2 linked regions of the Nothobranchius furzeri genome follow. The main gene of each other region encodes a partner of the protein of the gene in region 2 in a complex. Links are inferred from orthologs where the notes say so. Each region holds a gene or a part of one and is shown on either strand. Other genes may lie near its edges.

The links.
Region 1: the proteins of ctsk (region 2) and cst3 are in contact, whole or in part, in a crystal structure (PDB 8V57), measured with the Mus musculus proteins. The link is inferred for Nothobranchius furzeri from reciprocal best matches to the Homo sapiens genes CTSK and CST3. Residues at the interface, in NP_031828.2 of Mus musculus: Asn132, Gln133, Gly134, Gln135, Cys136, Gly137, Cys139, Trp140, Glu173, Asn174, Tyr175, Cys177, Gly178, Gly179, Gly180, Tyr181, Met182, Ser248, Ala251, Ser252, Gln257, Phe258, Val274, Asn275, His276, Ala277, Ser297, Trp298, Ser301, Trp302; in NP_034106.2 of Mus musculus: Pro27, Arg28, Met29, Leu30, Gly31, Ala32, Pro33, Gln75, Leu76, Val77, Ala78, Val80, Asn81, Tyr122, Pro125, Trp126, Lys127, Thr133.

The regions. Positions count from the first base shown.
Region 1 is NC_091752.1:310,602-314,904, forward strand, and holds the start of cst3 (cystatin C (amyloid angiopathy and cerebral hemorrhage)), read right to left. Parts: upstream 2,845-4,303; coding exon 2,650-2,844; intron 1-2,649. Other genes in the region: ephx5 (epoxide hydrolase 1), read left to right, coding at 3,284-3,306, 3,401-3,620, 3,699-3,879, 3,956-4,165, 4,247-4,303. UniProt on the Homo sapiens protein: As an inhibitor of cysteine proteinases, this protein is thought to serve an important physiological role as a local regulator of this enzyme activity.
Region 2 is NC_091745.1:65,976,833-65,980,648, forward strand, and holds part of ctsk (cathepsin K), read right to left. Parts: intron 3,124-3,816; coding exon 2,958-3,123; intron 1-2,957. UniProt on the Homo sapiens protein: Thiol protease involved in osteoclastic bone resorption and may participate partially in the disorder of bone remodeling. Displays potent endoprotease activity against fibrinogen at acid pH. May play an important role in extracellular matrix degradation.

The sequences.
Region 1 (4,303 bases), on a different chromosome or scaffold from region 2:
TGCTGTATAGTGACTTGATGCAATGTGCTGGGTTCCTTATATAGGAAACATTATTTCTGATTGGCTTAATGAACTGTCCTGTATTGGAATGTTTATTATGTGAAGTGCCTTGAGACGACTCTTGTCATGATTTGGCGCTATATAAATAAACTTGAATTGAATTAATCCAGCCTTGGGTATGGTACTGGATCTGATGAAGGTACTAATCCTCCATCAGGCCACATTAAAACCAGAAGTGGATTAATGCCAACTTCTGACCCTGTTTACAAGGGATTGAAGGCAGTTGGAGACAATTTTATTTAGAACAGCTTTTAGAGAAGACTCCATAAGTGACACTTTTTATTGTATTAAAGAGCAAGCCACCCCCTAGCAGATTATTCTTCAACTCCCACTTCCTATTTGAAAAATGCAACAAATGCTGTTGCCTAGCAGACCGAGAGGGCGGAGCTGCTAACAAATACAATCACACACAGGCTCAACACAACATTGTGACATCATATGGTACCAGCTAACACCCTAGGGTACCTCTTAGCCAATAGCAATGGCAGATTTAAATTCAAATGCAGTGCAGAGTTTGTACCTGACAACAGCACAACACTGACAGTTTCACGCCGGGGACACACCGGCCGCGGAAGCGCCGAGAAGCGAATCGCTCACGAAATTCGGCCGCTGCTCGCCGCTCCTCAGTTCAGATCAGACGCGCCCTAGTCGAGGCGCGCCTCGGCTCAGCTGTAGTTTTTCTTTTAAACACTTGGTGTCCTCCATTTCCTCTCTGCCTTTTCTCAGCTCTTTTCCTCTACGTTTGAGTGTGTGTGTGTGTGTGTGTGTGTGTGTGAACCTATGGTATGAGTTCTTTCTGCCAGTTGAATCTCTTGGAACCCGCTCCAAGTCTGCAGCTGTATCCTAGCAGTTTCTTCAGAAATGAGCACATAAATAATCATGTTTTTCAGGGGTCGTACAGCTTCTTGTGTTTCTCAACTTCCATAATTAATTTAAAGTCATCCATCTTAACTGCTTGCCTCAGACTTTCTGCCTCTCTGTCCTGTTTGCTCCGGTGAAAAGACACCCAAAACCACTCCCCCCTTCACGTGGTCACACACGCACACAAGTTCGATGTGTGTGCGTGTTCGTGTGGTTTTTCTGCAGTGTCTGATTGCGAACACATTTGACTATTGAGGAATTTTATTTTGAAATGCTTTATTTTGTTAACTTTACCGGCCTGCCTCTTATGTCCAGGTTTGACTTCCTGCCAGAATTGACGCGATTCACCCGCGGCTCGCGAAAAAAATAGAGCCGATGCCGAAATGATCGCTGCACGGCGCGGGCTGGAGCGCCGGCACGAGGCGATTCGCGGCGCTTCGGCGGCCCATGTGGTCTATAGAATAGCTTAACAAGGGCGCCGAATGAAGGCGGTCCCATTTTCGCGGCGCTTCCGCGGCCGGTGTGTCCCCGGCGTTAGCCAGAAAATTAAAAATTTAACTAAAATGCACCAAAATGCTAAACTATTGAGTACACGTGTCTGTAGCACGATTACACACACATTTATATAGTTTATAAGAAAAAATAAGTAGATTTGGGGGTGACTTGCTCTTTAAGAATTTTATTTTACACCAATTTGTGATTATTTTTGAAAAGTGTTATAAACATGCTTTTATCATTTTATGACAACAAAAACTGTTGCATCATATGGGTATTAATTTGAACAGAAAATGACTTACAAGGCATTAATTCATACCAGGTAACCACAGCAGATGTATTGAAAAAAAGAAAAGGGAACGAGGCCTTTAAAGGACATCATTCCCCGTCCTTGTTTGATTTACATTTAGTGGTAAATTCATAGGAGAACTTGACAAATTCCATAATAATGTAATATAAGTCTTATGTCAATGTAAAAGTTTTAAAACAACATTTGCACGAGCTGCTGTGAACTTGTGGTTGGGATGCTTTCATTTTAATTGTGACTAGCTGTTAGCTCCTTGATCCAAACAGAACTAATCTCTGTTTCTCCAAACTGAAGCTTTTTAAAAAGCTACCTCCAACAGCTCAACTGTGGATTTATGCCTGATCACTTACATAAGCCCTTCTAAAGACTTTTGTTTTAGTCAGGAAGGATTTCAACAGTAGCATTCAGTCGTCTGCATTTTGTTGATTTAGTCTTTTTAAAAATACACACACACAGGCTCACAACAGCATTGTGACATCATAATGTACCAGTTTACATCATAGCATACCTCTTAGCCAATAGCGGTGGCAGATTTAAATTAAAATACAGTGCAGAGTTTTTTCCTGACAACGGCACAGCACTGCCAGTTTTAGGCAGAATATTTAAATTTTAACTATCTAACTACTGAAGTGCCAAATTATTTACACGTGTCTGCAGCACGATTAGACCCTCGTTTATTTAGTTTATCAGTAAAAAAAAGTTTATTTGGGGGTGACTTGCTCTTTAAGCACTTTGGCAGTCTGGTTAGCTAGTCTGCAAATCAATAAACATTTTCTCAGAACCCCGCCTTAAACTGTCTGGCTATCACTTTAAACAGGCCTTAGCACTGGAGGATAGCTCGTGACAAAAAGAGGATTTAGTTAGACACGTTCAGCTCTAGTTCTGGACACGTTTTCATCTGAAACCGACAACGAAAACCAACCGACCTGACTCTGAGCCTTTATCACTCCGACTACGCCGTGCTGGTACACGTCGTTGCTGCCTCGGTTGTACTGAGCAACGGCGAAGTTGAGAGCATTTTGGACCCCATCGTCATTAGGGTCTATGTCCTGTGGGCCACCAACGAGGCTACCGAGCCCGACGGCGAAAAGAACCACGAGAGGAAAGCCAATCTTCCACATCTTCGCTCGTTCACCGAAACTACGTATTGAGAAAATAGAGCTACAAGCTTGAACTTCCGGATTCTTCTTTATGTAAACAACAGCAAGAGCGCGAGCTTATCTCTCAGCCAATCAGGAATCACCGAGACACACACAAACCCCGCCTCTGAGGGGTTTCCGCCCCGCAGCCAGTTGAGGTAAAGGCTGCGTTCAGGAACGGATTATCCCGGAGGTTGCTCTCTCCAGACTGGAAGTGAGAACATTCCCTCCGGACACTTAAAACGTGACAAACAAGGTACGTTAAAAACGCGGAGGGGCACGGGGGGCAGATTTCGGCTCGCGCAACTTTTCGAAGTGCTGTGTGCAACCCCCCCCCCCCCCCAACAAATTAACCATTGTCGACCTTTATCCTGTTACAGCACAAAGAAACCTGAGCACGCGCACGTTTTGACCCTTCACAATGCAGAGACTGCAGCTTTTAAAGTAACAAATCCTTGCGGTGTTTTATGTTGATATGAAAAGTAAAAGTTTGATCTCATTATTTGATTTTCTGGACCCCCCCCCCCCCCCCCTGCAGGGACACTTTCTTTGGCCTGGATGTTGTCCAGCAGCAACTCCTTATCGGGTCTGCTGTGGCCTTGGCGGCAGGTGGAATTCTGGCATATGTCATGCAGAGGAGGAACAAAGCCAGATCTATCCCTCTTGGTGAAGGATGGTGGGGAGCAGGAGAGAAGACTCTCTCGGAGGATCACACGATCTACCCCTTTTCAGTGAAAACCTCAGATGAAGAGATTAAGGTGCTTGCAAAATACCAACCCAGTTTCTAACAACAGCAGCTTTAGTGTGAAGGAATCAGCTGTTATCTTGTTGAACAGGACCTCCATCGGCGCATCGACAGCTTCCGCTTCTCAGATCCTTTAGAAGACTGCGGCTTCAATTATGGCTTTAACTCCACTTACCTTAAGAAAGTGGTTTCGTACTGGAGGAATGAGTTTGACTGGAAAAAGCAGGTGGCGATGCTGAACAAGTATTCACACTTTAGAACCAAAATAGAAGGTACACACAGCTCCACGGGGTTCAAACGGGTTAGATTCAATGTTTTCTCTTGTAAAAACTTTTTCTGGTGCTGCAGGACTGGATGTGCACTTCATTCACGTGCGCCAGGCAGTCCGAGGGGACCAGAAGGTTCTGCCACTCATGCTCGTTCACGGCTGGCCCGGCTCTTTCTACGAGTTCTACAAGATTCTGCCCCTCCTCACCCAGAGCCAGGATGGAGTTGCATTTGAGGTCGTAATCCCCTCAATCCCTGGTTATGGCTTCTCAGAAGCCCCTTACAAACAAGGTAATTATGAATAACGTGTGCACACGTCTGCTTCTGCGGACAGCTGATGTTTTAGCAGTGTGCTTCCTGCTTCCTTTCCAGGATTTAACAGTCTGGCTGTTGCTCGGATTTTCCTGACACTCATGGAGCGCTTGGGCT
Region 2 (3,816 bases):
GGAACGTTTGACCTGATTGAACCAGATAAAGACTCAGAAATTAGACCAGAAGTAAAAACTTATGCCACTCACCTCCAAGCATTCATCTGTAAGCGTTTTTAGCACTTTTCTACCTTTAGATCTTTAGTCAGAGTCATAGCAAATCTCATCCACATTGCAAAGTCCTTCAATGGGACTAATCCAAACAAAAAATGCAAAGGCTGGCACAAATGTCATCTGCCTCAAACCCCAGAGGAGGTCGCTCAAGCAAAGATTGTTGTCTTCAAAGAGACACAGAAGGCATACTTTGAGAAGGAACTTTCTGCCCTTGATGCTGGCAAGCCAATCTCGAAACAGAGTCCCCTCAAGAAGCTCAGCCCATTGTTACAGGACAGTCTCATTTCTGTTGGAGGCCGTCTCAAACATGCGGAAATTGAGAGTGCTGAGAAGAGCCCAGTGATTCTTCCCAAAGGCAGTCACATCTCCCTTCTGATCACTCGCCATTACCACGAGCTCACAAAGCACCAAGGTCGTCATCTGACGGAAGGAGCAATCAGAGCCGCGGGGCTGTGGCTTTTAGGCTGCAAAAAACTAATCAATTCAGTGATCCACAAATGTGTAATCTGTCGCAAACTACGTGGAAAACAAGAACAACAACTCATGGCGGATCTACCACCTGAACGCCTAAAAACCTGTCCTCCTTTCAACTACGTCGGCCTTGACGTGTTCGGACCGTGGTTCATAACAACCAGGCGTACTAGGGGTGGAGTAGCTGAAAGTAAGCGGTGGGCCATCATGTTTAGCTGCATGAGTTCGAGAGCCGTGCATATTGAGGTAATCGAATCTCTGGACACGTCCAGCTGTGTAAATGCCCTCCGCCGCTTCTTCGCTCTAAGAGGCCCCGCCAAACAGCTGCTATCTGACCGTGGCACCAATTTTATTAGCACTTCAAAGGAACTTGAAATGGACAAATCACTCCAACAGTACCTAACTGTCCAAGGCTGCAGTTGGGGGTTTAATCCACCGCATGCATCCCACATGGGAGGTTCTTGGGAGCGCATGATTGGAGTCGCCCGCAGAATCCTGGACTCCATGCTACTACAAAACAAGGTTCAACTGACTCATGGCGTGTTGTGCACACTTATGGCTGATGTTGCAGCCATAATAAATGCAAGGCCGCTCGTCCCAGTGTCCTCTGATCCAGAGAACCCTTTCATCCTATCCCCTTCAATGCTCCTTACGCAAAATCTTGCCTCCCACCCCCACCTGGAGACTTTTCGGATAAAGACCTTTACAACAAACAATGGAGAAGGGTCCAAGCCCTTTCCAATCAGTTCTGGACACGCTGGAGACGAGAGTATCTACCCACATTGCAGCAAAGGCAGAAATGGACTGGGTTGTGCAGAAACCTCCAAGTTGACGACCTGGTTCTGTTAAAGGATAAGCAGGCTGCGCGAAACAACTGGCCCATGGCCAGGGTCTCTGCCACATTCCCAAGCAAGGACAATCGAGTAAGGGAAATTGAAGTGAAGACATGCGATCAAGGGTGCATAAAGACATTTATGTGACCGGTTACAGAAGTTATCCTCCTCATGCCAAAGGACTGAATGCATAATGTTTGTTTAGCATAGTGGCCTCCCGAGGCCAGGCGGGGAGTGTGTTGCCCTTAAGGCTTTCTCTGAATAAATAGGTTCATAAGTTTGAAGTAAATAATTCTAAAAGGATTTGTCATTAAAAACATTGATATGTGTTGTTAAAATGAATAATTCATGCTTTATATGTGTTTTAGTTAAAAAGAAAATATCGCTAAAATGTACTTCCTGTTCTGGCGGTGCACTTCCGGTTTTGGTCAAACACTGTTTTCGCAGAGAAACAGGCGCTTCATGCAGAAGGCAGCGTGGAGATGTAATCAGATGCCATCTTCTCTGAATTATCAGGCTGGAACGCCGTAAGTTGCTTTATATGACAGTTTATACTAATAGCTTTGGATATTAGTGTATATTTTGCTAACATGAATGTTTCAGTGAGAGTAATGCACTTTTTGGATGTAAACATGCTTCTATCTGTTAAGATGGAGTCTATTTTCTGTCATTTCAGTTTTCACCACATGTTCATGAGACAATTAAACAAGCTGCAGCTAAACTCCAGGGTCTTCATTTGTGGTTTAACTCGGTGTCACCAACATTCCTGTTGAAAACACTACAGTTGTTTTGTGTTCATTAGCAAAAATTCATTTGTCATGAAAAAACAAAACAAAAATATTTTATCAACAAAATTAACACTGGCCAGAGGCGCACATTTGTGAACAGTAGGCGTTGCTTCCAGCCGTAATCACGGAAGCAGGGAGAAGGGTTTAAGGTGCGATACGTTTTTCTGCCTCTAGATGGTGCCTCAGAGACAAAACTCTGGATTTATGTTTTTCTAACCTAGAAATCTAGACCAACCACAGCTATAGCAAAAGTTTGCCCTGAGCCTTTTTTATTTTTTACAATGACGACAGAGCTGCAATCCAGCAAAACAACAGCAATGGTGGGAACTCAAGAACAGCACTCATTTGAAATGACTTTAGCATCAAGTTTGGACAGTTTAGACTAGGACTTTTCTTTGATGGTGGTGGACTGCATCACTGGCTGATTTTCATTGGTATGAATGCTTTATGTTGCTCTGATTGGTGCTAACACTGTCCAATAGTATCCAGAGACAGTTTGACAGACAACCGTAGATCCCGCCCCTGCGACTGAGGGTCGTGGCCAGACTATATATTTACATGTATAGGATGGCTCGCAAGGCCAAGTTATCATTAACCCAGCCATGGTTTAGGGATGTCCAAATACTCAGGGTTATTAAATTACCTCACATTCAAGTTGAGTAGGAATGAATAAAACAAATTTGTGTTTAAGGAAAAACATGAAACATTTTCAGATGACAGAATTTCAGCCCCAAAGCAGGATCAGACAACCTGTCAGCGGTTTGCTCACCTTTCCTATATAACTGGAAGCTGGGCTGCGTTGCGTCGATGCCCACCGACACTGGACCAGCTTTGAAGAGCGCCATGGCCAAGGCGTGCTCGCTGCCTTTCGGCACCTCAACGTAGCCTTTGCACTGGGCTGCCATGCCTGATGAATTGTAGCGGCATAGCTGTTCCTACACAACAATACAAGCATAATAAAATTCTACAGTTGAGGGTGGATGGTTAGTGTCACAGTAGGGCTGGGCAATAAATCAAAAATTTTTCGTAATCGAAATTTCCGACTCTTATAGAGATAATTTTCCTCATGTCAATAAATTTGATAATTAAAAAAATGAAAAGATGTGTGTAGGTTGGCAGTGTTCGTATCCCTTTAATACGTGTGACAGCCCCATCTAGTGGACAACTTTTGCTTCTGCGCATGCCTGTAGATATATCATCCATTTATCGTTATCGAGGTGAAATCCTCAATATCTCGTGATATTGATTTTAGGCCATATCACCCAGCCCTATGTCACAACAATGTTTCCTTTTGGCAAATCACATTTGACACCATGTTTTTTTTTAATTAACACTGAAATTTGTTTCTAGCACAAATGTAAACCAAATATTTTTTGTCAAAATAATTGCAATGAATATGAGATAATTTTACCAAATAAAGACACACGGAACAAGTACTTCAGGTTAACAAAACAAAAATATGTGACACAATTTTACATGAACTCTAATCAGTTTTTATAAAGCAGATTAATAATAAATTGTTCATTTTTCGTCCCTCAGTCTTGAAACTGATTGTCAAGGCTTCCAACGTCCCATCTCCTGAACCCGACCCCATGACTCTGCTTTCTTCTACTTCCCTTTAAGTGACT